Linked DNA regions of Macaca mulatta. The protein of the gene in region 5 interacts with the protein of the main gene of each other region in a pairwise test. Links are inferred from orthologs where the notes say so. Each region holds a gene or a part of one and is shown on either strand. Other genes may lie near its edges.

The links.
Region 1: the proteins of ADAMTSL4 (region 5) and AQP1 interact in a two-hybrid assay, tested with the Homo sapiens proteins (2 studies listed by BioGRID and IntAct). The link is inferred for Macaca mulatta from reciprocal best matches to the Homo sapiens genes ADAMTSL4 and AQP1.
Region 2: the proteins of ADAMTSL4 (region 5) and SHFL interact in binary tests that used the Homo sapiens proteins (3 or more experiments, as listed by UniProt). The two-hybrid records come from large-scale screens. The link is inferred for Macaca mulatta from reciprocal best matches to the Homo sapiens genes ADAMTSL4 and SHFL.
Region 3: the proteins of ADAMTSL4 (region 5) and APOL6 interact in binary tests that used the Homo sapiens proteins (3 or more experiments, as listed by UniProt). The two-hybrid records come from large-scale screens. The link is inferred for Macaca mulatta from reciprocal best matches to the Homo sapiens genes ADAMTSL4 and APOL6.
Region 4: the proteins of ADAMTSL4 (region 5) and CREB5 interact in binary tests that used the Homo sapiens proteins (3 or more experiments, as listed by UniProt). The two-hybrid records come from large-scale screens. The link is inferred for Macaca mulatta from reciprocal best matches to the Homo sapiens genes ADAMTSL4 and CREB5.
Region 6: the proteins of ADAMTSL4 (region 5) and CPNE7 interact in binary tests that used the Homo sapiens proteins (3 or more experiments, as listed by UniProt). The two-hybrid records come from large-scale screens. The link is inferred for Macaca mulatta from reciprocal best matches to the Homo sapiens genes ADAMTSL4 and CPNE7.
Region 7: the proteins of ADAMTSL4 (region 5) and OTX1 interact in binary tests that used the Homo sapiens proteins (3 or more experiments, as listed by UniProt). The two-hybrid records come from large-scale screens. The link is inferred for Macaca mulatta from reciprocal best matches to the Homo sapiens genes ADAMTSL4 and OTX1.

What each region holds. Positions count from the first base shown.
Region 1 is NC_133408.1:97,464,355-97,468,489, forward strand, and holds the start of AQP1 (aquaporin-1), read right to left. Parts: upstream 2,801-4,135; 5' UTR 2,744-2,800; coding exon 2,360-2,743; intron 1-2,359. UniProt on the Homo sapiens protein: Forms a water channel that facilitates the transport of water across cell membranes, playing a crucial role in water homeostasis in various tissues.
Region 2 is NC_133424.1:10,795,578-10,799,747, forward strand, and holds the start of SHFL (shiftless antiviral inhibitor of ribosomal frameshifting protein), read left to right. Parts: upstream 1-1,370; 5' UTR 1,371-1,481; coding exon 1,482-1,502; intron 1,503-1,974; coding exon 1,975-2,098; intron 2,099-2,296; coding exon 2,297-2,346; intron 2,347-2,521; coding exon of another isoform or gene 2,522-2,660; intron 2,661-4,170.
Region 3 is NC_133415.1:15,895,198-15,899,467, forward strand, and holds the start of APOL6 (apolipoprotein L6), read right to left. Parts: upstream 2,801-4,270; 5' UTR 2,624-2,800; intron 2,067-2,623; exon of another isoform or gene 1,781-2,066; intron 1-1,780. UniProt on the Homo sapiens protein: May affect the movement of lipids in the cytoplasm or allow the binding of lipids to organelles.
Region 4 is NC_133408.1:99,935,438-99,939,415, forward strand, and holds the start of CREB5 (cyclic AMP-responsive element-binding protein 5), read right to left. Parts: upstream 2,801-3,978; 5' UTR 2,745-2,800; intron 1-2,744. UniProt on the Homo sapiens protein: Binds to the cAMP response element and activates transcription.
Region 5 is NC_133406.1:116,571,132-116,574,631, forward strand, and holds part of ADAMTSL4 (ADAMTS-like protein 4), read right to left. Parts: intron 3,277-3,500; coding exon 3,213-3,276; intron 3,075-3,212; exon of another isoform or gene 2,916-3,074; coding exon 2,560-2,915; intron 2,388-2,559; coding exon 1,691-2,387; intron 1,449-1,690; coding exon 1,346-1,448; intron 1,279-1,345; exon of another isoform or gene 1,167-1,278; intron 390-1,166; coding exon 253-389; intron 1-252. UniProt on the Homo sapiens protein: Positive regulation of apoptosis. May facilitate FBN1 microfibril biogenesis.
Region 6 is NC_133425.1:85,041,575-85,044,576, reverse strand, and holds part of CPNE7 (copine-7), read right to left. Parts: coding exon 2,993-3,002; coding exon of another isoform or gene 2,926-2,992; coding exon 2,792-2,925; coding exon of another isoform or gene 2,433-2,791; exon of another isoform or gene 2,309-2,432; intron 1-2,308. UniProt on the Homo sapiens protein: Calcium-dependent phospholipid-binding protein that may play a role in calcium-mediated intracellular processes.
Region 7 is NC_133418.1:61,712,516-61,716,759, forward strand, and holds the start of OTX1 (homeobox protein OTX1), read right to left. Parts: upstream 2,801-4,244; 5' UTR 2,733-2,800; intron 2,379-2,732; 5' UTR 2,310-2,378; intron 734-2,309; 5' UTR 625-733; coding exon 528-624; intron 1-527. UniProt on the Homo sapiens protein: Probably plays a role in the development of the brain and the sense organs. Can bind to the BCD target sequence (BTS): 5'-TCTAATCCC-3'.

The DNA.
Region 1 (4,135 bases), on a different chromosome or scaffold from region 5:
CACGCCTGAGACCCCTCCAGTTCCAGGGCCAGTGTCTGACGGGAGCCTTTAGGGGGGTACCTTCTCTATTTCTAGGCCCAGAGTTGAGCTTCTGACCCCCACCCTTCCACTGTCGGGACAGGGCAGTGCCTGAGCCCCCACCATCATGCTTAGCACCCTTATGTTCAGCACTGCCCCTGCTGGGCTGCTCTTAGCCAGCCTTTGTGGGATGCGTGATAAGCTCAAAGCAATGAAGTGAGCTGGCTGTCTGGGTGTGGCTGTGAGGTCACAACACTTAAGTCCCCTCTCGAGGGTCAGGGTCCACAGCTCCAATAAAGCTCAATAAGTTAGCAGCAGACAGGTCTTGAACCCAGGTGTCTGCCTCCCAGCCCAGGGCCGGCTCCCACACTAGGCTGCTCCTCTTTCTCTCCCATTTGCAACACGCCCAGCCCAAGTATTGGGGTGACTATAAAAAATGAAGGCCAGGGAGGGAATGGGGCACAGGAGTCGGGTGTGGCCTCTGATCCAGATGGCACAGAAGGGGCCCGCCCTCCCGCCTCTGGCTCGGATGCACATACTAGAGTGTGAAGCCTCTGCCAGCATGTGCAGAGGTTCTGCCCTGTGAGATGGGAGGGACGATATGGGGTCAGAAAGTCTAGGAATCACATCCCCTCCCCTACAGGGACGCTTCCCCAGCCCAGCATACCCAGCCAAGCTTCAGTGTGAGCTTGACCCTACCCAGTGGAACTCCCCGAGGCCACAAGCTCTGCCCCCACTGGAAACTGAGGCCTGGGGGCAGAGCTTGACATGGCCTGCCTGAACTCTGTCCCGTACATACCCCGCAGCCACGTCTAAACTGGCTAAAGTCTAAACTCCAGCCCATGGAGGTAATCTTCAATCTTGGGCCAAGCAGAGGTTGGCTGCAGAGGAGGCTGGGTGAGGTGTCACCGTGACACAAAAGCGCTAAGCCCCCCGTGGCTGGGCTGAGCCAGCTGCCCTCTGCACCAGACCTTCACCTAGCCTCCCCCAGGCTGTCAGCTGCAGGATCTGAACTTTGACTGAGAAGCGAGAGGACAGCTGCTGTAATCACTACTGCCATCTCTGAGGCGCCCTCCGAGATGACCCACACAGTCCCCACACCCACCTGCCCTGCCTACAGCCCTGCCAGCCTCATCTCTCCAGACAAGTCCTCCTCTCTGCTCCTTAACCTCTCCCTCCCTGTGAGGGCACCCCAAAGCCTGCTCACCTGTCCCTTGGGCCCTCAGACATCCTCCAAGCCTTCCTCAGTCTCTCAGGCCAAATCTCCCCCTGCTGTTGCCCAAGCCCAGCCTGAGTTTGCACTTGTCTGAGGAGCTGGGAAAGGCCAGGTCTGGGACAGCAGGCGGCTGCCACCAGCGGCCACTTTGCCATGCTAAGCAGCCCAGGAGACATTCTTTTCCACAGCTGCCACCCAGTCACCAGCATCTGCTTGTCATTAGTGACCCCAGTCCAGACCCCATTCAAGCCGGGAGCCATGGGCACGTGTGGTTGCAAACTCACCCCCACACACCCTAACACAGCAGCACAAACATGCACACAGTTTACACAAGCACAGAGACTCATGCTGGCAGACGCATGCACACATACACACCTTCACACACACACACGCACACGTACATGCACACACGCACATGCGCGCACACCCACCCACACACACACACACGCCACACCTCTCAGTGCCTGGAGACCATGGAGCCCAGCACTTGCCCCCCAGCCCATACTGTAATCCAGGAAAACTGCCTTCAAACAGCCCCAGAAAGAGTTTTCACTGCCTTATCTTTGTCTAATTCCCAGGGGCGGAAGAGTGGAAGACGGCCTTTCTCTGGATTCCTAGAGGTGGTTTGTTTGGAAACCTGTGTGAACATGGGGGGCTCCCTGAGGGAGTCCTGTTCACACACCTGCAGAACCAGCTGCAGACAGGCTGGGCATCTGGTTCAGGGTGGCTGGGGAAAGCGGGCGAAGTTTCCCCAGGGTGCAGGGCTGGGGGAGGAGGGAGTTGGTGGCACAGGCAGGACTGAGAAGGGCCAAAAAGCTACAGCCAAGGGGCGAGGAGCTGCTGGCCAAGCTTATTCCCCATAATAGATGCCCTGCAGGGGACATTGGCAAGACCATTATTCTCTTGATCTCAGCTTCCCACAGTGCCTGGCAGAAAACAGGCTCTGGGAGGCATGCATAACTGAGTTCCAGCCCCAGCTCTCCCCCCCGGCTCTCTATGTGACCTCCAGCAACCTCTTGTCCTCTCCATTCCTCAGTGTCCGCATCTGCACGATGGGCAGAGGATGGAACTGGTGCCTTTCAGCATCATTCTAGAACCCCCCAAGCTCGGGGACACCCCACTCACATCATTGCGGCCGAGCGAGTTCCCAGGCAGGGAGGAGGTGATGCCCGAGAGGATGGCGGCGGCGACGATGGCCCCCACGCACTGGGCGATGATGTACATGAGGGCACGGAAGATGCTGATCTGGCAGCTGAGCAGCAGCCCCAGCGTGACAGCCGGGTTGAGGTGGGCGCCACTGATGTGACCCACGCTCTGTGCCAGCGTGGCGATGCTCAGTCCGAAGGCCAGCGACACCTTCACATTGTCCTGGACCACCGTCTGGTTGTTCCCCACCGGGTATTTGAAGCCCAGGGCAGAGCCAATGCTGATGAAGACAAAGAGGGTCGTGGCCAGGAACTCGGCCACCACTGCCCTCCAGAAGAGCTTCTTCTTGAACTCGCTGGCCATGCTGGCAGGGGGCTTGGCCTGAGACCGCTGCCGGGTGCTCAACTCCCTCTGAGAGCTGAGCCACAGCCTGGGCTGGGCCTATTTATAGGGCCGGGGGGCGGGGGGAGCACAAAGGGAGGAAGGCCTCTCTTCACTCCTGGCCCGCCCCACACCGCACGGACCTCCTCTGGATGGATGCAGACACGGCTCTGCTGTCCGCCTGCCAACTTTTTCCTTCCTCCTCTCCCCCTCCCTCTCTCTCTCCCTCCGCCCTCAGCCCTGCCCAGCCCAAGGAGGCAGGCAGGAGGCAGCCGTCGCTCTAATAGGCTTTGGGAAATTCTTCCAAGCTGGCCCCACTCACGGGACCAGAGAAATCCAGGTGTCTCCGCCCTGTGTGCAAAGCTCAGGGGGTTCCTGAGGACACAGCCAGGTGCTCCAGAGTGGGCGGGGTGGGCGGGGTGGGCGGGCTGGACTCAGTGGGTGGACGTTGCCCTCCCTGGAGGCAGGCACCATGATCCTGCTGGCCTGACATCCCCATCCCAATCCAGAGAGGCACTGGTCTGGAGTCCCTGGGCCCAGGGCTCCAGAGGGGCAGTCAGGGCCTCCCACACGGCCACTGCATGCCATGTTAGGGATGTCCCAGAGTCCCCAGTCTCCCCGAGCCAGGCCTCTGTGGATGGGGCACGGAGGCATCAGAAGGTGCAGAGAGGTTGTCTGTGGCTGCCCTCCACGCTGTGGTTGGGGACAGGCCTGAGCTAGGCAGAGCTGTTAGAAAGCCGCTACCCTGGGAGCTCCCAAACTTCTCCAGAGCAATTTGAACCAATGATTTGTGGGCAGGTTGGTGAAGATGGGACAGTTTAGGACTTTCCTCTCAAGGCAGTCACACTGGTGGGTCACTGGGAAGGTGGAAGGAACGGCAGCCCCACCTGGCATTGGAAGGTGATGGAGAGGAGGGAGGGAGGGAGCAGGAGAGAAAGGGAGAGACAGAGATGCAGGCTGAGGGGAGGAGAAGAGACAGACAAGGAGAAAGGAAAGACAGTAGCCAGGAAATAGAGCAAAAGTGGAAGCGAAAGAGACAGACCCCCAACCAGAGACAGTGAGACAAGCAGGGCCAAGAGAGACAGAGAGAGCGCAGAGGGCTAGGAAAAGACAAACCGAAACAGGGAGATAGGACTGGACCCAGAGCCAAGAAGTAGAAAGGGAGAGATAAATGAGGAGAAGGAGAGACCAGTAGGGGCCAGACGAGCCCCTGCAAAGGGAGGGGCCGAGGCCCTGCTACGGACCCCCGCGGGCCCCCTGCGCCCTGGGCATCTCCAATCCAGAGGCCCAGCGCCAGCCAACAAACAAAAAGAATCCGGACTCTGGGGCCAGCAAGCTGTCAGGAATCCCTGGGCCTGGCCCACTTGCCTGCTG
Region 2 (4,170 bases), on a different chromosome or scaffold from region 5:
AAAATTAACCAGGCATAGTGGCATATGCCAGTAATCCCAGATACTTAGGAGGCTGAGGTAGGAGGATTGTTTGAGTCCAGGAGTTCGAGGCTGCAGTGAGCCGTATTCAAACCACTGCATTCCAGCCTGGGCAACAGAGCAAAACCTTGTCTCAAAAGATAAATAAATATCCATCTGGGGGTGTAATTTTAACAGTTTTACCTATAGAGGTGTGCAATGGAGAAAAAAATTTAGAGTCGTTGAACACAATGCTATTTTGCCCCTCAGAGAGTATCTGGCAGTCTCTGGAGACATTTTTTGTAGTCACAACAGGGAGAGTGAGGAGCCACTGGCATCTAGCAGGCAGTGGCCAGGGATGCTGTTAAATGTCCCCCAACACACAGGACAGTCCCCCACACAAAGAACCAGGCAGCCCAAAGTGTCAAGAGTGCTGGGCTTGAGAAGCCCTTGCCCGAAAGCCCCAGACTTAGTCTTGTTTTGGGGGCTCTGCACGGCTGCCTCAACTCCCCACTCTATTCGTCCCCGAGCTAAGACCTCCAATTTCAGTGACTGTACAAAGCATCCCCTCCTCCAATGAAGTAGCCATCTCTGTGTCCCCAGGCTGGGCCAGAGCCCCACCACCTAACGGCTCCCTGATGCGCCCTGTACTGGGTTAGAACTGTCCAGCCCACGGGGTTCTTAACCATTGCAGATTCCCTGGATCCCTGAGACAGCCGGATTCTACCGGGCAACGAGAGACCAAGAATCTGTGTTTTTCTCAAGCACCGCTCCCCGCAACCACACACACACTGCCTGCCCCTATCAAGGGCACACAGCAGGTGGCCCAGTGACTAGTTGAGTGCCTACTGCAAGCCAGGCGCTATTACGCGATCCACTCGGGAATCTTGGCACATACTCCACTCCATGGTGTAGAGACCAGGATCCTCCCCATTTCACAGAGGGGTAAACTGAGGTTCAGAGAGGTGACCCTAGCTAGGACAGAGACTCAGGGCAGGAAAAGCGCCCAGGTCCTCATGAGCGCCAGATTCCCGGGGAAGGAGGGAGGACAGAGAGGAGGGTGATGAACTGGGGGAGCGCGCGCTGGGTGGGGGGGCGCGGGGCCTCGCCGCGGCCTTCCGATGCGGCCCCGCCCCCACGAGGGACGTGAAGACGCGGACCCCGCGCAGCGTGGGGACATGTGACCGACTGCAGAGGCCGCGCCGCCTCCCCCGCCCGAGGTCTGCGCGCTCCGCCGCAGGGTGCAGACCCGGGGCGCCCGCCTGGGTTTGGGGCGCAAGAGCAGAGGCGGAGCCAGGGCGGAGCCAGCGCGCCCGGTCCCCCCTGAATCGAAAGCGAAACAGGGGCTGGGGAGGAAGGGCGGAGCCGGCCCCGAGGCACCGCCCCCTGCCCTGCGCGGCTGCTGGACCGACGGGCGCGCCCAGGTAGGGGGGCGGCTGAACCGCGCAGTGCGGACCCTCGCGGGGACCTGCGCCGCCGCCACCATGTCTCAGGAAGGTGTGGAGGTAAGAGATGGCTACGGCTGGGCCGGGGGCAGACGCGACAGACTCCGAGGAGCGGCCGAGAAGCGCGGAGGGGGCTTCGCAGTTCCTGGGGACCCCCATCCTAGAACCCCAGATCTTTACCCCTGCCTGGCGCTCACCCCCCTTGAAAAGGAAAGTGACTCCCACGTTTCCCCAGAGCGAAATGAGGCCTCTCCGAGGAAAAGCGGGGGCTGCAGGGTCAAAGGTCAGAGGCCAGAGATAACCTGGCCGCCCCCCCACCTTAGGCTGGGACGCTCGCCTCAGTCCGCGCCCTCCCCCAGCGCCATGTGGGGACTTTGGCTTTTTCCAGGAAATGCCGTAGAGGGATGAAAGGGGGGGCGGCGGAGGCCAAAACCAAGGGTCAAGTTCAGGCCGGGAGAACGGTGCCTAGAGATGGGGGAGGGACGATCGCGCTTCCCCTTCGCCCACCGGAACCCCCCTGTCCCCATCCCAGCTGGAGAAGAGCGTCCGGCGCCTCCGGGAGAAGTTTCATGGGAAGGTATCCTCCAAGAAGGCGGGGGCTCTGATGAGGAAATTCGGCAGCGACCACACGGGAGTTGGGCGCTCCATCGTGTACGGTGAGGCTGCTGGGGTCCCGGGCCTGGTGCGGAGACCGCGCGTGGGAGCGCCGAGGGGGCGTGGTCTAGGGAGAGGCGTTGAGATCACCTCCCCCGGAGGTCCCAGCCTCGGGGAGGCTCTGCATCGCGGCTCTGGGTGGCCTGGAACTCCCACAGACCCTTCAAGGGCCCTTCTCTTATACGCACTCTCCCCCGCAGGGGTAAAGCAAAAAGATGGCCAAGAACTAAGTAACGATCTGGATGCCCAGGTAACCTGTCCCCTCCCCTCGCAAAGGACCGGGTCACGGGAGGGACAGCAAGAGGGGGGACCCGACCGGTTCATGGTGACTGACACTTCTCTGAAACAGGAGGGACCAGGCATTGTCGGTCCGTAACTCATCACCCAATATCACTTTTTCACCTCTCTATCGTTTGTCCGGCCAGGGAGCCTGCAAACAGTAGGTGCTCATTATGCGCTGATTGTATTCAAAGGCGGACAGCCATGAAACTAGGCAATGAAAGGAGTCAGGATTATGGCCATCGTGGGGGGGCAGAGATCAGAGAAGACTTCCTGGAGGAGGAGGTACCAAGTCTTAAAGGATGGAGAGGAGTGAGCCCTGGGAGGGGAAAGGGAAAGAAAGGCAGGGGCCTTAGGGTGTGGGAGGGAATGGCATGAGCAAAGGCTGGGAGGTGGGGAAGGGTTGTTAGTGTCAGTCTCTAGAAAGGCTGGGATGAGCAGGGGATTGGGGAGGAGAGAGAGGGAGGGGAAGGGAACCCTTGTGTTGAATGAATGAATGAATGAATGAATGAATGAATGAATGAATGAATGGCTTTGAAGCACAGGTGCATCATGGCTACTTTGCTTCTTCGAAAGCTTTGGTGATGGGAACACTGTGGATTTCGCCTGCCTGAAAGGCTCAGTGTAGGGCTGTTACAGTATAATAGGCCTGGCGCCATGGCTCACGCCTGCGATCCCAACACTTTGGGAGGCTGAGGCGGGCGGATCACCTGAGGTCGGGAGATTAAGACCATCCTGGCTAACATGGTGAAACCCCATCTCTACTAAAAATACGAAACAACAACAACAACAACAATTAGCCAGGCGTAGTGGCAGGCGCCTGTAGTCCCAGCTACTCAGGAGGCTGAGGCAGGAGAATGGCGTAAACCCGGGAGGCAGAGCTTGCAGTGAGCCAAGATCGCGCCACTGCACTCCAGCCTGGGCAACAGAGCAAGACTCCGTCTCAAAAACAAAACAAAAAACAAAAAAACCCAGAGGATAGTAAAATATGTATCATAGTCTACATTTATACATATAAAAGTATGATAAAAATGATAGCAGAGGGGCCGGGTGCGGTGGCTCACGCCTGTAATCCCAGCACTTTGGGAGGTTGAGGCGGGCAGATCACTTGAGGTCAGGAGCTCGAGATTAGCCTGGCCAACATAGTGAAACCCCGTCTCTACTAAAAATACAAAAAATTAACTGGGCGTGGTGGTGCATGCTTGTAATCCCAGCTACTTGGGAGGCTGAGGCAGAAGAATCACTTGAACCTGGGAGGCGGAGGTTGCAGTCAGCCGAGATCACGCCATTGCACTCCAGCCTGGGCGACAAGAGTGAAACTCCATCTCAAAAATATAATAATAACAATAGCAGAGGGTAGCATTCATTGAGTATTTCCCATATGGCAAGACTCCAGGAATTGATTTATTTCATCGCCACAGTGACCCCAGGAGACAGGTCCTGTTATTTATCCCCATTTCACAGACAAACTGAGGATGAAGTCACTTGCTAGGTTCACGAAGCAAGCAGGTGGCAGCTGCGATTTGAACCCTGGCCACCTGGAGTCAGAGTCTGGGCTCTAACATGCCTGTCAGTGGGAACCCAGGAGGCAGGGAGTGGCTTGTCCAAGTCCCCACAGCTGGAAGTGATAGAGCTGGGATTCGAACCCACATCTCTCAGTCCAGATCCCCACCACTTAGCCAAGCACAACATGGCCTCAAAGGGGCGATATTGTCACAACACCAACAAGCATGTGGCATTTGCAGGCAGGAAGTGAGTACGGGGGTCAGGCTGGCCTCACAGGCAAGCCCTCCCC
Region 3 (4,270 bases), on a different chromosome or scaffold from region 5:
GCCATTCATTTTCTAATTGTTTAAATGAATACAAGTTTACGGTTGAAAATTTAGAAATAAATTATAAAATCCACCTGTACACTCACCACATGGAAATAAAAACTAGTGACATTTTATTTTACAAACCCAAAATTTAAATGAATGCTGTTCAGGTAGCTTGTGTGAATTCTTGTCACTTAACATTGTATCGTTGGGGCTGGGCGCGGTGGCTCAAGCCTGTAATCCCAGCACTTTGGGAGGCCGAAACGGGTGGATCACGAGGTCAGTAGATCAAGACCATCCTGGCTAACACAGTGAAACCCCGTCTGTACGAAAAAATACAAAAAACTAGCTGGGCGAGGTGGTGGGCGCCTGTAGTCCCAGCTACTCGGAAGGCTGAAGCAGGAGAATGGCATGAACCCTGGAGGCGGAGCTTGCGTGAGCTGAGATCCGGCCACTGCACTCCAGCCTGGGCCACAGAGCAAGACTCCGTCTCAAAAAAAAAAAACAAAAAAACAAAACATTGTATGGTAGTAGTTCCCCAGGTGATATATAGAAACCGTGTCACATTTCATTATACCAATGTATCACTACACATTCAGTAACTTTCTCACTGTTGAAACTTTGGGTTGTTTTCAGTTATTTTTAAATTTTGTATTTATAATTTTTGGTTAAAATCCTTATATAGATGTGTGTCTACATGTTTGGTTATTTCTTTGGGGCAGTCTATGAAAAAGAATTAATGTGTCAAAGATAAAAACGTTCTCCCCTCTCTGGTATGTGAAGCTTGGTTTGATTTGAGGGGCTTGGCACCTTTAAGGACTTACTTTCGCCAGACATACATCTACCTGCTTTACAGTGACCCTGTGAAATCGATGCCAAGATTATGCCCATTTTACAGATGTGCAAACTGAGACATAGGGAGGCCAGTGTTACACAGTAAGCAGGAGAGCCTGTACGATTCCAGCCACGCTGAGTCTGGAGTGGTTGGTCCCAGTCAGGGCACATTTGCTCCCCAGGGACGTTGCTAATATCTGGAGACATTTTTGATGGTCTCAACTGGAGAGGGTATGTAGTGGGCAGACGCCAGGGATGCTGCCAAGCACCCTACAATGCACAGGACGGCCCCCACAACCAGGGATCACCTGGTTAAACATGACAAGGGTGCCGGGGGTGAGAGACCCTGGTCTGGAACCCCATTTTTCACCAGAGTCCCCCAGTACCTCTCCTATTTTTTTTTACATTAGTTCTATGGGATGCAGGGCAAAGGTAACAGCAGGAAACTCGTCTGAGCAGATCCCATTCCCTCCCCTCTGACCTGCTCTCGGTGGTTGTGAGATGAGAGTTGTATTGGGAGAGGATTTGAGACATTATTTTCATTTTAAAGCTTATAGGATATTTATGACAGTCTTTCCTTACCTGCCTTCCCCCACAAAACCAACTTCTTCAGATACACAATCTAAGTAAGAAAAGTCTGCTTACTTTGAAAACACAGCTTCAAGATAATCTCCCAATTTTTTTTTTTTTTTTTTTTTGGAGACAGGGTCTCACTCTGCTGCCCAGGCTGGAGTGCAGTGGTGTGATCACTGCTCACTGCATTCTTGATTTTCTGGGTTCAAGTAATCCTTCCACCTCAGCACCCCCCATCCACCCAGTAGCTGGGACTACAGGTGTGCACCATCACGCCCAGCTAATTTTTGACTTTTTTAGAGACAGGATCTCACTATGTTGCCCACGCTGGTCTCAAACTCTTGGGCTCAAACAAGACACTTGCCTTAGCCTCCCAAAGTGCTGGGATTACAGGCATGAGCCACTGCGCCTGGCCTAGTCACCCTAATATTTATCACAAACTCCCTCACCCTCTTCCTAAACAACTTCACATAAACCTACAATCTAGAAAACTCGGTAGGTTGGCTTTGCAGTTTCCGGACAACTCACCCAGCACCCTTTTTCTTGTGAAATGACACCCCTAAACCACTCCTATACTGAATTTCTAGAGAAACCCCTGTGGCGGCTGATGTAATCACCTGCTTTCTTTTTTTTTTTTTTTTTTGCTCTGTCGTCCAGGCTAGAGAGCAGTGGCGCGATCTCGGCTCACTGCAAGCTCCGCCATTCTCCTGCCTCAGCCTCCCGAGTAGCTGGGACTACAGGCGCCCGCCACCACGCCTGGTTAATTTTTTGTATTTTTAGTAGAGACAGGATTTCACCGTGTTAGCCAGGATGGTCTCGATCTCCTGACCTCGTGATCCGCCCGCCTCGGCCTCCCAAAGTGCTGGGATTACAGGCGTGAGCCACCGCGCCCAGCTGAAATCACCTGCTTTCTAAGTGCCAGATCACCTCTGCTTAAGCCCTTGGATCCCCAGCAGTGGAGGGGCAAATGCAGCTTGGCTAGTCACATCACATGCTTTATCACGTTTTGATTTAACCCTCAAATGGCTGTAAGGGACAGAAACCTACCGGGTTTAACATAGGAGAAATTGATCCTCAGACTCTCCCCACGCTCTGGCTGGCATTTGAACCCCGCTGCTTGGACAGCAGCTCTTTTTCCTAAGTCAGGTGCCTAAAGCTAACCCCTTGGGGGCTTTGTCCTTCAGGGACTAGAGCAGCAGCCCCCTTCTCCCCCAACTTCTGCCTGCCATCTCACCTTCTCTCCACGGAGCTCTCCTTTGTGGCCTCGGGTCCCGAGGGAGAGGAAGATCCTGAACCTCTGTCCTTGACTCTCCGAGGCCCCCGGTCCTGCAGGAGGCTGTGAGCGTCTGGGCTGGAGAAAGACAGATAGGAAGAGTAGGGTGGCTTTTGAACGGGAATTGATTGCAAAACTGGTTTCTGTTAAGTGCTGCAGGAGAAAAAAAAGCCAAACTCTCGGGCTCTTCCAGGAAATCATGGGCTCCAGCTGTGCACTTTCATTTTCCTTTTTGCCTGTTTCTCTAACTGCATGCACAACGAGATGAAAGAGCAGAATCAAAGTCAGAAGGCCTGAGTCTCTCGTCTCTGTCCTGGCTGTGTTATAGGATGGACCTATATGGGGTATGAAAATAGCTCCTGTGGCTTAGAGCTATGGTGAGGAGCCCATGAGCAAGCGATGGGGCACCTGATGAATAGTGGATTCACAGTAGCGATCATCACTGATTGTTCTGAAACTGCTTCCCTCCACAGCATCTTGATGTGGATAACAGCCCTATGAGGTGCACGGCCGGCATTTAAGGGCTAATAACTCTGAAATGCAGAATCCTCTGAAAATGGAAACTTTTTTATTTTATTTTTTATTTTATTTTTGAGATGAAGTCTTGCTCTGTTGCCCAGGCTGGAGTGCAATGGCACGATCTCGGCTCACTGCAACCTCCGCCTCCTGGGTTCAAGCTATTCCCCTGTCTCAGCCTCCCCAGTAGCTGAGATTACCTGCGCCTGCCACCACGCCTGGCTAATTTTTGTATTTTTAGTAGAGATGGGGTTTTATGTTGGCCAGGCTGGTCTCAAACTCCTGACCTCAAGTGATCCACCCACCTCAGCCTCCCAAAGTGCTGGGATTATAGGTGTGAGCCACTGCACCCGGCCTGAAAACGAAAACTTAAAAAAAATAATAATTTATTCATTTAGTGACAAAACCTGAGCTGATCTGGCATGAATTCACTTATGGTTTTTATGTCTCTTCCTTAATTTGAATATTCACTGTCACTGTAAAAATATTAATATGTTTGACTGAGGAGGGCTGCTGGGGGTGGGTGGGTTACACAGTACGTGATACCTGCACCCCATTACCTTTCTAAAAATCACTTGGGGACTCTGACATGCATCTGGCCTCAAGGATTGGAGATACAGGATGTGATACTCTGTCTCCCACTTTAAGGAAGAGGAAACTCAGGCTTCTAGAAGTTGTGGGTTGTTAGTGATTACACAGCTAAGAACCAGTCCTAGGCGCTGTGTCTGCAAGAATGAGCCCACAGTGTGGTTACGGGCTGAGATCTGTGTCTCTCTAACATTTCTGTCACGTTGTGATCAGAAGTCACGTGGTTTGCAGAAATCCCCAGTCACCACCCCTAGCTGAGGCCACACTGGGTGCTGTTGCTTTGCAGAAGGCGTGGCCCACCTAGCCAGTCCTGCCTTTGCGACGATGGAGGCCACCTCCTGTCACTGGGCCCTACGAGCAGGAATGAGGGGTTAAGCGCTGCTGAGTTGGGTCCTGTAGGGGCCTTTCCAACCCTGGCATCCCAGATTCCACAAGCCAGCCCTGCTGTGGCCTCCCACACTTGGAGAACACTCTAAACACAGCGTGACCTTGAAGCGGACTTGG
Region 4 (3,978 bases), on a different chromosome or scaffold from region 5:
GGAATGATTTTCTTCGAAAGTTGTCCCTGGGTGCATGCCTATTATCTTTGCTTTTCCCCTTCCACTAATGAGCATTTATCTAAAGAGCCTGTTAATCCTCTGATGTGTGCTTCTGGTCAGAGGTAACAGTTTGAATAAAACCACTAATCACTGATCACTAAATCACTGATCATTAATCACACTTTCCAGTGCCCATGACTGGGCCATTTTTTTTTTTCCTTTAAGTCTATGCATCACAAACAAGAAGTTCAACATTTTCGATGCACACATATTGTGTGGAGGTTACACTATTTCATCTCTAGATGTGAATAAATACTAAATCCTGCCACAAACTTGGGGAAGTATGTCAATTAGACCCCAGACAGGAGTTTCACAAATGTCTACCCTACAGCATGGCTTTCACTTTGAAGAAAGTAGATCTAATTATAAGAAAACATGTGTTCTTCAAGAAATTCCTCATATTGGCAATATAAATATTTCTTTATTTAGTTTTCACCAACTCCAAATCAGGAACCACTCCAATTCCCTCTCCCGCTCTATCCAAAACTCTGTTAATACTTTTATAATTTAATTTCTGCACATTTCCCTCCCCCACCCCCCCGCCAAGAGTTCTTTTTACTTTGATCCCTTGCAACAAGTCATACACAGGGTCTTTATTTCAACTGCCAGATACGGAGGTTCTGACTCAATTCAATGACTTACGTATTGAACTTCCTCTTTCAACATAGAAACTTAAGGTTAAAAGCTAGAAACTAACGCACACACCAATTTATTGTATGGAAGTTTAGGTTCAACAACTCATATTCCCTTACTTTGGAAATGAAACGTTTAGTCTTGATCCTTTCAGCTAAACCTGATTTTGTCAGCATCCTGGCTTCTTCGTCTTCCCTCTTCTGCTAAAGGGCAGGCAATACGTAAAGTGAAGTACTTTGTTTGCAGTGGGTGTATTGCCTTCCTAAGTCACCACCACGAGGACAGAGTATTATCATAACGCTTGGAAACATTTCCTGATTTGCCTTTTCTATCAGGACTAAGCATTTTCGCTCTAGAGGAGAAGGCTTGCTGGTGCCTTTCTTAAAAAATACAAAAGGGCAGATTGCGCGCTGATCAGGTACAGTGGTCCCCTCAGACCCCAGAAGCTTTTACCCACACTCCAGGGACTGTGCTCGCTCCAGGGAAAGCTGTAAAAGGCGGGGCCGGGGCTAGAGTGATAACGGTGTAGACGGGGGAGTGGTGGAGAGGGAGGGGTTGGGAAGAGAGGGCAATAAAGATGCCTAGGGAGGGGGCGATTGCACGAGTGTGTTGTGAGGAGGGTAGGGGGATGCACAGCAGAGTTGCTTTGTCAGCATTCTAAGCTCCTGAACCCTTGAGGAGCTCAAGCCTTTAATCAAACACTTACTGGCCTGCAGAATGACGTAATGGACCTGTATCCAGCCTTTATTCCTTGACACATGTCAGAGAAGGAGGGAAAAATAAAAATCAAACACATCAGAAGCAGACTGACAACGAAACATACAAGTAGCCCGCTCCAGACCCCGGCCTTGAACAAGCATCAAGTGGGGGCGGCACCGGTCCAGGGAAAGTTGGGGACGGGGATGAGAGTGTGGACAAGGTCTGGGGCTTTATCTACTAGACGTCCCTTAAAAACAACTCTATGGCAAAGAAGTGGATGCAGCTGCTGAGAGAAAACATCTCCTTGGTTCCTTCCTTCGCATCTTGCCCCTCTAAGAACTTCACGAAAAGTTCAAGTGGTTCTGCCGAGAATCTGCCGCAGGGGGAGACTCCGCCGCCGGGTCCTGGGAATTGCCTGGGCGCCGCCAAGGCTCGAGCCGGAGCTGTCATTTGGGGCAGCGGCCGGGAAGAGGTAACGATGCCAGCGAGAAAGCAGCGGAGGCAGGAGGCGGCCGGAGGAGTGGACGGGAGCGGACGGAGCCTCGCCGCTCTCCAGCCCGGAGTGCCTGGAGCGAAAGCCAAGCGCCCTCCAAGGGCGACCTCCCCTCCCCGGGCGCGCGCCAACCCACTGCAGCCAGCAGCCCCACGGGAGAAGTGGCAGCGGCAGCTCCGCACCGGGGAGAGCGAGCCCCCTGCGCGCGCGCCCACCCGCCCCCTAGGTGACCCGGAGTCCTCGCCGCGCCCGCTGGAAGTTTGCAAACTTTCTCCGGGGATTCCGCCGCCACGCTGGGAAGCTGGGGACGCGGGGGGAGGTTCCTGGCTCGCCGTCTCCGCTGCCGCTTGACCGCACTTCTGGAGGACTCCGCACCTTGCCAGGTCTCTGGAGGCAAACACACACCCCCGATTCATAACTGGTCCCCGCGTCAGGGGACTCGCGCGCTCCCACACACGCACGCACGCCGGGCGGACTCGGCGCCGGCTCCACGTTAGCATCCCTCCAGGCGCGCGGCGCGGCGGCCACCGAGCGCTCCGGCACTCACGCGGCGCGGGGTCTCTGGGGTGGCCTCAGGACACAGCCGAATTCCACAGTCTACCAGCACTCGGGGCCGGACTTCCCTCTGGTCCGCCAAAATGTTTACAAACACAGATCACCCTCCAGAAAAAAATGCATCGCATCTTCCCTACTCCTTGCCCTGTGACCTGCCCACTGGACCAAGTAACCTCGCGGCTGCTGCCGAGAACCAACCCCTGCAAACAAGTACGCTCCCGAGATGGCTCCCGCGGCAAGTGCAACAAAAGTGGCTAAATGCAAAAGCCCCAGAAGTGGCCGAGCCGTATTTTTAGGAACTTACCAAACAAGTGTGGAGAAGGCAAGAGCGGAGCCCGGGTGAAGGGACCACGTTGGACTGAGCAAAGATTACAATACATTCTATTTAGAGTGCATTACATCACCCCCCCGGTGACGTCACGTGGGATTCCTGAACTTCTAAATCATTGCGGTCCGCTGGGGAGGGACAGAGCGAGGGGCGGGGCCGGCGCGTCGAGGGGGCAGGCCCCACCCCGGCCCCGCCCAAACCCCGCCCCGCCCGCGCGGACCCTGGTGCACCCGCCGGGGAGCGGCAGCGGCGGGGGCGACTGCGCAAGCAACAGCTTGCAGAGCCCAGCGCCGTGTGACACGGCTCCCTGACATTAGTGGTGTGAGTCAGCTTGGAAACAATCCTTATGGTTTCAGACAGGACCACGGAGGAGGCGCGGGCGTGGGCTGTTCTGCGGGGAGGGCCTGATGGGGTTTGAAAGGTGTAGGGATGGGGGTTAGGGGAGAGGTGGGGAGGGGGATGCTGAAGGATGTGGGAAGAGGCTTTGCAAACAGAAATGCAGGACGCTCCTCCCTCCCCCACTGAGGATGTCCAGCTCCTTTTTGCTTGCGACAGTCATGACCTCATTTCAGTGTTCCCTGCATCCTGGCTTCTCAGAGCACTCACTTGTCACCCCTTCTTCACCGCCCCCCATCTCACCTCCTCCAGGAGAATAACTTCCTTATGGTGCACACTCTCATGAAATACACAGCCCCCACCCTTCGCGGGACCCCTGCTTCGTGCGTCTGAGAAGCTGTAGGGAGAGTTGCTCCTAAGGCGAAAGGTGAATCACAGCTAGAGCCAAGTGATGAGCCTGATTTAGACACGGCGTCAGAGCTGAAAGGGCCCTTGGCTGTCACTTCCAGAGCCTCTTCGGTAACTGGCCCAAGCTCACGGGCTGGGAAGCGGCAGAGCCAGGGCCAGACTGCAGGATCCGGGCGCCTGGTCTGCAGCGAGAGGAGCCTGGCGTCTCCAGCATCCGGCCGTCACCATCACTGTCACCATTCCCCTGCTGAATTTCCTTTCAGAAGTTCTCCCTTTGAGTAGGATTCAAAGAGAAGGCATAGGCTAAATCCAGCCCGATTCTAGACGACCAGTGCCAACCTCGCAGCCCCTCACACCTTACAAAGCATTTGCAACCACGTGAATTCCCTTGTTTCTCACAACAACCCGGGTACCATAAGTAGGACAGGTATTATAATTATCCCCATTTTACAGGTGAGCTAAGGCA
Region 5 (3,500 bases):
TGTGTGCATGTGTGTCCGTGTGTGTCTGTGTGCATATGCATATGTGCATGTGTTCATGCACGAGTGCACATGTGTATGCATACATGTGTCTGTGTCCATATGTGTGCATATGCATGTGTGTCTGCATACGTGTGTGTACATGCTTGCATGTGTGCATATGTTCATGCATATGTGTGTGTACATGTGTATGTGTACAGGGGTGTGTATCTGTGCACATATGCGTGTGTGTGTGTGCACCCCGTCTTCCCTCACCAGACAGCGTCCAGCCACACAGATGTCAGGGGCTCCAGGCTGACATAGGGTCCCATCCTGGACCTTTTCGGTGTGACGGACATAGAAGCGGAAGCCACGGGGCCGGCAGTTCAGTTCACAGCGCTGGGAGCCCTGGACTAAGGGACAGAGTAGAAGGGTGGTTAGTGGGCTCCCTGGTGGGAGGTTAGCTGAGAGAGGCCCCGGGGGGGCACCTTGAGGTTGCCCAGGTCACTGTGGATGAAGGAAATGTGACAACAGCACAAGCTGAGAAGGTGGTCAGGGCCGGCACAGTGGCTCATGCCTATAATCCCAGCACTTTAGGAGGCCGAGGCCGGTAGATCATTAGGTCAGGAGTTCAAGACCAGCCTGGCCAATATGGTGAAACCCCATCTCTACTACAAATACAAAAATTAACCGGGCATGGTGGCACATGCCTGTAGTCCCAGCTACTTGGGAGGCTGAGGCAGGAGAATTGCTTGAACCCAGGAGGCAGAGGTTGCAGTGAGCCGAGATCTGCACTCCAGCCTGGGTGACAGAGCGAGACTGTCTCAGAAAAAAAAAAAAAAAAGGAAGGTGGTCAGGTCAGTCGAGGTCACTGAGACCATCAAGGGGACTCTGAACCGAGAGAGGAGCAATCCCTGAGGCCCATGATTCTGTGTGTTCAGAGCTCTTGAGTGCTTGTCTTGGTGTCAACACAGGCCTAAAATGAAGCGGATGGTAACTTGGGAGCAACCGATACGGTAGTGCCCAGGATACGTGGCACACCCCCACCCAGCTGTCACGGCTGGACAGGATCTCTCCCACTGTGGCCCTCTTGTGTCACAGCCACCCGACCCCCAGTGATGGTCTTCCCAGAGGAGTCCGGACAAAGCGTGTCTCCCGCACCTCCTCCTCCCACCCCGACCCCTCTGCAGACCACTCGCCGCCACCTGTGCTGTCTCCTGACCCAGCCCCAGGGAGAAGAAAGAAGGCACGGCGCAGGGGAAGCAGAGGGGCTGGAAGTCATTCAGGGCTGGGAGTAAGCAGGTGTCTCCTCTCCCCTTCATCCCCAATTCCAAGTCATCACTGCCCAGGGGTGGGCAAGAAACCTCACCTTCGGTGAAGGGCTCCCACTGGTACAGCTGGCCCATGAATTCCTGGGAGTTAAAGGCCGCGCACTGCAGGGCCCGGGGGTCTGGCTGCTCGGGGGGGCAGGGCTGCGGTGAGGGGTACAAAGGAGTCAGAGCTGGGGAGCAAAATGAGGGTAAGGTCAGGGCTGAACCTGGGGAGCAGGCGGGAGGATCAGGTCAGCGGAAGAGCTCCAAGACCCCTGCCCTGAGGTGGTCAGATGCCAAGGCCCTTCTCCCTCAGGGGCCGAGAAGAAGCTGAGGGCCCAGCTTCAGGGCGGGGAGGCCACACTGGAGGTTGGGGTTGGGAGGGGAGACCCGAGGAGACTCACCGCTTGGCTGCAGGCTCTTAGCTGCTCACTCTCCCCAGAACATCTTGGAATAGGGCTACTGGGAGCAAAGAGGCTCCAGAGGGAGCTGGCATGGGGGCCGTTGCTCAGCAGGGGCAGCCAGCCGTCCGGGTGCTGAGGGTCAGGCTCCAGGCGGTGCCCGTGAGGAGTCCCCCCCATTCCCCAGGGCCCCTGGCCCTGCTGGCCTCGGCCCCGAGGGACTGAAGGGAAAGGATCAGGGCGTCTCCCTGCTACCTGGGGACTGGCCCAACCCTGGGAACTTGGCCTTCGTGGCTGAGGGGATGCACGGAAGAAGCCACCTTCTCCTAAGGAGTGCGTGGGTGAGGGGGCCTCTGTGTCAGCGGCCTGGGCTCTGGGGTGGTGCTGTGGAGGGGCAGGCCTGGTTCTGGGAGCCACCTCTGTCTGAGCAGTTTCAGGGCTTAGAGGTTCTGCTTGGGGGGATGGGGTGTGGACAGACAGTTCTGTGGGAGGGAGCTCAGTCTTGGGGCTGCCGTTTGTGGAGAATGGCTCTGCTCTTGGAGTAGGGGATGGAATGGGCTCTTCCCCTCTAGAAGAAATCAGGGACAGCTCAGATCTGGGTGGCCTCCGAGGGTGCCTGCGGTTCCGGTGCAGTGGCAATGCAAAGGGCACTCTCCCATAACCGAACATTCCTGGCTTGATGGGGTCTCGAAGCCGGGACCTGAGAAGGTGTTTCAGATGTGGGGGCACAGCTCTGACCACCTCTGACCCTGTTTCCCCAGTTTACTTCCTGGCACCAAAGACAAGCCCTCTGAAGTCACCCGTGCTCCCCTTTCCTTCTTGCTAAGCCCCCACCTTGCCCAAGGCCCACCTCTTCCACCCAGGCCTCTCACCTCCTGGCCGCTTGAATCTCCTGGGTCTCCTCTCTCCCTAGGTGGGAAGCAGGACCTCGAAGTGGGCCACCCCTTCCCCGAGACTGTGTCCTGTACAAGGGGAGGGTTTCTGGAGAAGTCTGGGGTCTGGGACCCTGGCCCCGGGGGAGGAGGGCTTCTGGATGTCTTGGGGGCCGGGGAGGGAGGGGCAGACTCGGGCGGAGCTGCACTGTAGGGAGCTGACATGTCCGGCTCCTGCGCTGCACCCCCACCCCGCAGGGCTGGGAGCAAGAGGCCCACTGGACCCAAGGTCCCCAGACACCTTCGAGGCCCTGGCCCTCCTCTGTAGGTGTCTGAAGAGAGTGTCCGGACAACACCTATATAGAGAAAAAGGTCAGACAGAATTGGAAGGATTAGAGGGAACTGTCCAGAGCGTCCATCTAGACCACCGCTGGGGCTCACAGAGTCGCTGCCAGTCCAGGGTCACATTCAGCAGCAGAGGGAGAACTACACCTCGGCCTCTTGGTGTTGTGAGGCAAGTAACTGTGGAGTTGGCAGGGGAGGTGGATGGGCTGTGGGGAAAGGAGGCGTGGCCTGGAGAGATGGGGTGGGAGCCCAGGGGGAGATGAAAGGGTGGCAGGCAGGCTGCAGCTGCTCACTTGTCCAAAGCTCACCTCCTGATCCAGGCAGAGCTGAGGGAGGGACAGAAGCAGCAGCAGCAGCAGATACAGCCAGGGCCTGCAAACCAAAGGCCATGGGAGGGACGTCAGACTGGAGCCAGAGGGGGTGTTGCAACACCACCCTCCGCCCCCAGCCGGCTCCCCATATCCTGACTACCAACTTCTCAGAAAGCAGAAGTTACTCATCACTTCCCCTGCCCCTCCCAGTGGTCCTCTTTCCCTCACTTCCAGACATGGAGCCGTCCCAGCAACCCCCCCTTCCCTCCCCACCATGGCCCCTTC
Region 6 (3,002 bases), on a different chromosome or scaffold from region 5:
GGGTGTCCACTGTGCCGCACGAGACAGAGTAGAGGCCGGGCGCGGGGCTCACGCCTGTAATCCCAGCACTTTGGGAGGCTGAGGTGGGCGGATCACCTGAGGTCAGGAGTTTGAGACCAGCCTGGCCAACATGGCAAAACCCCATCTCTACTAAAATTACAAAAATTAACCAGGCGTGGTAGTGAGCGCCTGTAGTCCCAGCTACTTGGGAGGCTGAGGCAGGAGAATTGCTCGAATCTGGGAGGCGGAGGTTGCAGTGAATCGAGATCGCACCACTGTACCCCAGCCTGGCGACAGAGTGAGACTGTCTCAAAAAAAAAAAAAAAAAGAATGAAACTCAAATAAAATCCATTTCCATTGTTTAAAAAAAAAACCCACTCAATAATCTTGCCCAAACTGTGGACAGTGGGAAACAAAGAGAAGGAGGGCTGGCCTGAGCAGCTGCCTCGGGGGGCTGGAACGGCCCTGTCCCCAGGAGAGTGGGAGCCCACAGCAGCCTCCCCAGGGCTGGCCCTGACTGAGCCCGTCCCACTGAGGGCAGATGTGTCCTGGAAACGAACAGGGGCCCCAGGACCCTGCTCAGAGTCACTTTCTCCGAGAGGCTCTCCTTTTGTGCCCTCCCCATCTCCCCTCTGAGCCCCACACCTGTGGGAAGAATTACCTGTTTGCAAGGCGGTCTCCAGTCCAGGCCCACAAGCACCCATGGCTGTGCCCAGCCTGGCTCTCAGCCTTCAGATAAACAGCCCATCCTCAGAAAGCCCCCCACCCCCTCCCAACCCCAGATGACGCCCCCACCCCCACTGCCAACTGTGTGAGCACCAGGCCCCAAAACCCACTGAGGGGCCCTGCGAGGCCCGGGGCTTCGTGTCCAGGAGAGGGACCGAGGGCTCAGCCGATCACGTTTGAGTCCTGGTTTCAACCCAGTTCTAACCACAGAAAACCATGTCACGGAAACATAAACACCAGAGGGACGTGCAACGCCAGGGGTGGCGGTTTAGGCGCGGTCAGGTGTCGTGGCAGCTTAAAAAGAGGCCTTATCTTTATTAGCGGCTGACAGTGATATTTACAGATGAAACCGTCTGAGACTCGCTTCCAGACAACACAGGAACATGACGACTGAACACAATCCTGACTCCAGGCTGGATCCCGTGCCAGGAATAATACTGCTTTGAAAGTTACGATTGTGTCAATTAATGAAATTGGAATATAGTCTACGTATTAGATAAAAGTATTGTTATCTAAATTCAATTTCCTGAAATCTGTATTTGTGCTATGGTTATATAAAAGAGTATCTTTGATCTTAGGAAATATACATTGAAATATTAAGAGGTAGGCCGGGCGCGGTGGCTCACGCCTGTAATCCCAGCACTTTGGGAGGCCGAGGCGGGCGGATCACAAGTTCAGGAGATGGAGACCATCCTGGCTAACATGGTAAAACCCCGTCTCTACTAACAATACAAAAACAAAATTAGCCAGGCTCGGGAGGCCGAGGCAGGAGAATGGTGTGAACCTGGGAGGCGGAGCGTGCAGTGAGCTGCACTCCACCTGGGCAACACAGCGAGACTCCGTCAAAAATAAAAAAATAAAAAAAATTGAAAAAGAAAACATACAACAACTACACAGACACGAGCAGAAGTGCAACATGTGAGCAGCTGGTGGCCTCACGGGCTGCAGGACCTCGGCGCTCTTGCAACTTTTTGGTGAGTTTAAAATTATTTCAGGCCGGGTGTGGTGGCTCCCACCTGTAATCCCAGCACTTTGGGAGGCTGAGGCCGGTGGATCAGTCGGGGGTCAGGGGTTTGAGACCAGTCTGGGCAACAAGGCGAAACCCTGTCTCTACTAAAAATACAAAAATTAGCTGGGCGAGATGGCGGGCAGCTGTAATCCCAGCTACTCGGGAGGCTGAGGCAGGAGAATCGGGGAGGCGGAGGTGCAGTAAACGGAGATCGCACCATTGCACTCCAGCCTGGGTGACAGAGCGGGACTCTGTCTCAAAAAAAAAGAAGAAAAAAAGAGGCCGGGCGCGGTGGCTCAAGCCTGTAATCCCAGCACTTTGGGAGGTCGAGACGGGCGGATCACGAGGTCAGGAGATCGAGACCATCCTGGCTAACACGGTGAAACCCCGTCTCTACTAAAAAATACAAAAAACTAGCCGGGCGAGGTGGCGGGCGCCTGTAGTCCCAGCTACTCAGGAGGCTGAGGCAGGAGAATGGCGTGAACCCGGGAGGCGGAGCTTGCAGTGAGCTGAGATCCGGCCACTGCACTCCAGCCTGGGCGACAGAGCGAGACTCCGTCTCAAAAAATAAAAAAAAAGAAAAAAAAAAAAAGAAAAAAAAAAAAAGGAACAGGCTGGTTGTGGCCCCAGCAACACATACAGGGCCACAGAAACGGTGGCAGAGTAGAGCCCAGCACGGTCCTCGGCACCCTATCATTCACGCAAAGTAAAGACACACAAACAAAATGACAACGCACGTACAGCCAAACAGTAGACACGTGTGCGGCCCTGCGGTGCCCAGAGGAAGAGGAGGGGCAGCCTCGCTGGACCTGTGGCTGTGACCCTGTGAGGCGATGGACAGCCCTGTGCCCGAGACACCCGCAGCTTTGATGCCGACGCAGTCAACCAGCTGGGCCCCCGCCCTCCTGAGTTGTTCGCCTCGGGGCCTCTGTGCTGGCTGTTCCCTCTGCCTGGCTGCCTCCCTAATGTCCAGGCGTTGGTGCACACATAGCCGACCCCACACCACGCATGCACCACGCATGCACCACGCATGCACCACGCCCCCCGGGCACCTACAGAGGCTTCCCCAGTGCGCTCCTCGGCCGCCGCCACGCGTGCCACCTTGGAGATGATGGGCGCCACGTTGGTGGGGCCGTAGAGCTGGACCCTGGGCAGACAGTTCTGGTAGGCCTCCACCACGCCCTGGATGCCTGTAGGGGGCAGGGGGTGAGCCCGGCCCCCTTGCACCCCCTCCCCAGGCCTGCCTCGAGCTCCTACCTTCACACTC
Region 7 (4,244 bases), on a different chromosome or scaffold from region 5:
GCTAAAGAACCCCGGGTTTGGCTCAGGTCGTCCTCTACAGCAGTGCAAAAATGGATGCAGGACATCAATTTAGAGGACAATTTAATTAGGAAGGAAGAATACTCCTTCAGTCCAGCCTGCCGCTTCGCATAAGGAAAGTTTGGCTCTTTCTGTCAGGGCCTAACGAGTGTCCAGATTACTCATTCCATGTTGGGGGAAAAGGAAAAACACTAGCCGCCCCTGGGTAGCGAATCCGCAGGTAAATGAGCTCTGCGCTGGTGGTGGGACCACAACAGGAGAAAGGTTGCCGGTGACCCGGCCAGGAAGGCGCACATTGCGCGTTTTCTCAGCCCTGGCCACCTCACATGCCCACGACTCTGCCCCGTGCGCCAGCAGTGGGCCCTGTATTGTAAACAGGCAGTGGGCCCTGTATTGCAATAGCTGACTCCCTGGGCCTGCTCGGCAACAAAGCTTGCACTCAAACCCAACAGTCTGGGGGGCCCCAACATTGGAGAGGCTGAAGCAGGGTCGGGAGGGCTGGTGCTCACCCGGATAGCCCACGGATGGGTGCAGGAGGTCCATGGCGGGCCCAGCCAGGCCCAGCCCGTTCATGCCGTATGGGGGTTGTTTGAGGTAAGACATCATGCTAACAGCTGGGTGGAGGCGCCCCGACGGATCCAGGGGACCTGGGGCCAGAAGCGGTGCAGGGCTCCCACCGCAGTCCTTCAGGGTCTGATGCGTCTGGGGGCCTGGCCTATGAAGACACGAGACACACGGAAACCATCAATCGGAGCCACTTGGCTGCCAAGTCTTGCCCCAGGATAGACAGGGAAGGCAGGTTACAGAACTGCGCAGGGTGGTCAACTGGAATCCACAAGGCCTTAGCCCAGAAACCACAGTTGCTTTGAAAAGTAAAGTTTTCTGGGTCGTCTGGCTCCAGCGTTGGAATGAGCCAAAGACACTGGTAGGGAGTCCATAGGAGTAAGGAGAAGTCAAAGCCAGGCCAGGCTGGGGAGGTCAGAGCAAGAACCGCGGAGTGTGCAAGCTCCCAAGTCCAGGCAAAATTCTGAATCCGGCAGAAGCCAGCTTCATGTTGCACAAGCAAACGTTCACTTGGTGCCGGGACGGCAGGCCTCCCGGAGCATGAGGGGTTGTTTCATTTTGTTTCACGTGTTTTTGAAAAGGTAGAGACTACAAAGGGCCAAGGTGAGGCAATGTGGAGGGCTAACCGCACCTCAACCTCTTGTCCACTTAGGACACTTGGTTCCTTCAAAGGTCTCCAGGGCTGCGCCCCTGCCCCAGAGCCCGCAATCACCATTCCAGCTGACCTCTCTGTGCCCAGCCACTGAAAGATCGCTGACGCGAAATCCCACCACACCTCAACCGCAGTAACCGGCCCAGGCCTCGCAGAGGGCCAGGGGACGCCGAAGAGGCCACTGTAGAGGGGGGCGACCCCAAGACGCGGCCTGAGGTCGGGAGCGTCTCAGCTGCGGCCAGCGTCCTTCGTTGCCAGCGCGCACCCGGCCTTCTCTGTCCAGTCTGTGCTGCGGACCACAGGGTCCCAGCAGGGGGTGAAGGGTGACTGACCTAGCACCTCAAAGGGTCTCGGGGATTTGCAAAGCCGGAGGGCAGCAAGTCCCGTGCTGTCATCCTTGTAGCTGAACCCGCGGCCCCAGGACACTGTCGAGAACAGAGAAGTAGGCCTCAGCGGCATAGCCCACGCAGACCCGAGCTGGGAGGTGGAAGCCTCGCCCCCGCCGCTGCCAGGAACCCGGGGCGGCACTCTCAGGGGTCAGGGAGGGGCGCTGGAAACTGGGCCTGGGGCTCTGGGGGGCCATTGCTACACCCCGCTTAGCGGGATCGCTGTGAAGCAGGCCAGGGACTCGGGCTAGGACGTTCAGGGAGAGAAGTTAGAGCTAAAGAAGCTCCCCCCTGCCCCGTTCCCACCCCGGTCTTCTGGGATCCAAGACCTGGGCTGAGGGAGTCCAGCTTGTAGGAAGGGGACGAGAAGAGAAGCAGCCAGGGCTCTAGGGCCGAAGGAAAATGGGACTCAAAGCTGCGACGGCTTTGCGAAGCTGCAGCGTGAGTTTTCAAAGACTTTCTCCAAACTTAGCACTTCAGCTTGGTTACTTCGGAGGAGGCGGGGGAGGGAGCGGCGGGCCGCGACAGCGCCCCGGGGTCCTCGGCTCACCAAGAGGGGAGCTAGGCCGCTCCCCCAGCCCCGCCCACCTGCTGGTGACCGGGGAAGTGGGGATCCATTTGAGGAGGGGGAGGTAAGGGTAACCAACGCGCTCCCGGAGTCCGGGATGGTCCCGCGGCTTTCTCCTTACCTGCCCTCAGCTGCCGGGGACGTTCACCATCTACCTGGATCTCTCACAGAGACCCGCCGGGCAGCCAACCTGCAAAACAGAGCGGCACAGGAATTACCCCGGCGGCTGGTCTAGGACCCCGGGTTTCTTTCTTTTCCCAACTTCCTTCCTCCCACCTCTATCTTTTTTTTTCAGTGGCTTTGTGCGTGTCCCTCTGGGTTTCACTTTATTGCACAGACACTTTGTTTGCTAAGCCCCACACGTTCTCAGGCAGGACATTGCCTCGCCCGGAATCGCGCCGAGGGGCCGCAAGGGGGGGAATTCGAGGGCAGAGTTGGGAGGTGGCTCGGCGTTACCGCGGCACTGCCGGTGCAACGTGGAGGCAGTGGGGACTGGGAAGTCCTGCAGAGTCACTTTGCAAACTAAATAAATCAAGCGATTTACCTTGTCGGAGTGGCTTGTCTTGCTCGGTTGTTTAGGTGATTGGAAATGTAGCCTGATGAAGATTGATCACCTTTCTACTGCCCTCCCCGGGTATGTGAACGCGAGGCGAGTGCGTAACGGGGCTAGGCCGCCAATCGGGGGCCCCGCGCGGGCTGAGTGACAGGGAGCCGGGCAATGGCAGCGCGAGCCGGGGGTTACCTCCGCGCGCCCCCGCCCTCCCCCGCCCCCCACACCCCGCCCTCCCCTCCCGCCCGCCCCGCCCCGGTCGCGCGCTAACTCCGGGACTCGGCTGGCAAAAGCGGCTCAGAGCTAGGCGAGGAAGGCGAGCGGAGAGCCCGAGTCCTGGCCGCGGAGGGGGCCGCGGGTCTCCAGGCCTTCCCTGGGCGCCCCCGCCCTTCTCTCGCGCTCTCGGCGCTCCGGAGGGAGTGGCAGAGACGAGGAGAGGTGCTGGAGAACCGGTTCCTTCGCTCTCCTGCGCGCCACCGGGCTCAGCCGCCCGGGTGTGGGCGCCAGGACCCGGGGGCGGCGGGCTGGAGGAGCCCGGGCCTCGGCCCCTCTCCTGGCGCCGCGGGCCCCAGCGTTTTCTTCCTCTGCACCGCCACCTGAGACCGACGCCGCGGGCGGCTCGTGCCGGCGCAGGCTACTTTGCAGAGCGCGGGAGCAGCTCCGGGCGTGCAGATCTCTCCTCGGCGCCTCGGGACTCTCGCGCCTGGGAAGAGCACCCACTGGGAGGGCACAGCCACTTACCTGCTCATCGGCATCTCCCGGGGTTCCCGGTCCCCACCAAGGGTGTTTGCAAGCCTTAAGCGCTTCTTCTGAAACGTTGGAGCCCAGCGTCCTCTTGCCCTCACATGTACACCCTACTTCTTAATTCAAACATTTTGATAGGAAAGTTTCTTTTTCATTCTTTCTCTCTCTTTCCTAGTCTGCCTCTAACAGGGACTTTTTGATGGAAAATGTGGCCACAGACCCCTGCCCTCAACTTTTTTCCACATGCTGCGTAAGGAGCCTCCTTGAGGCGATTTCCCCGGATTGTTCGTACGGGCGAAGCCCATTTCCCAGTGGAACAAACTTCCCAAACACGTCTGCCTGGGTGGACTTTTAAAAGTGCAAAAAAGAGTTTTCGTTCCAACTCTGAGCTAGGAGAATCTTTTAAATGGCACCTCCTTCTGAAAATTAGGCACTTTATTCCCTTTCGAGGAATTTCTACCCCTTGTTTCTAATCTCCCCCACTCCCCCACCCCGACAGGCGGGGTAAAAAGTTTGCACAGGAGTAAGTGTGAGGGCGAGTCAAGGAGCCTCCAGGCGCATCGCAGTGGGGAGCACCCGTGCTGCCCAGGCTGCGGGGTCGGGCGCGGAGAGCAGACAGGGCGCTGGGTGAGGAGGAGGAGAAGGAAGGGGGAGCCCGCTGAGTGAAAAGGGGCCGCGGCCGCCGCTCATCAAAGTGCTTCCCCCTCCCCCAAGCGACACTTTCCTTTGGAGTCCGAATAAAATACGGTAACAGAATATGAT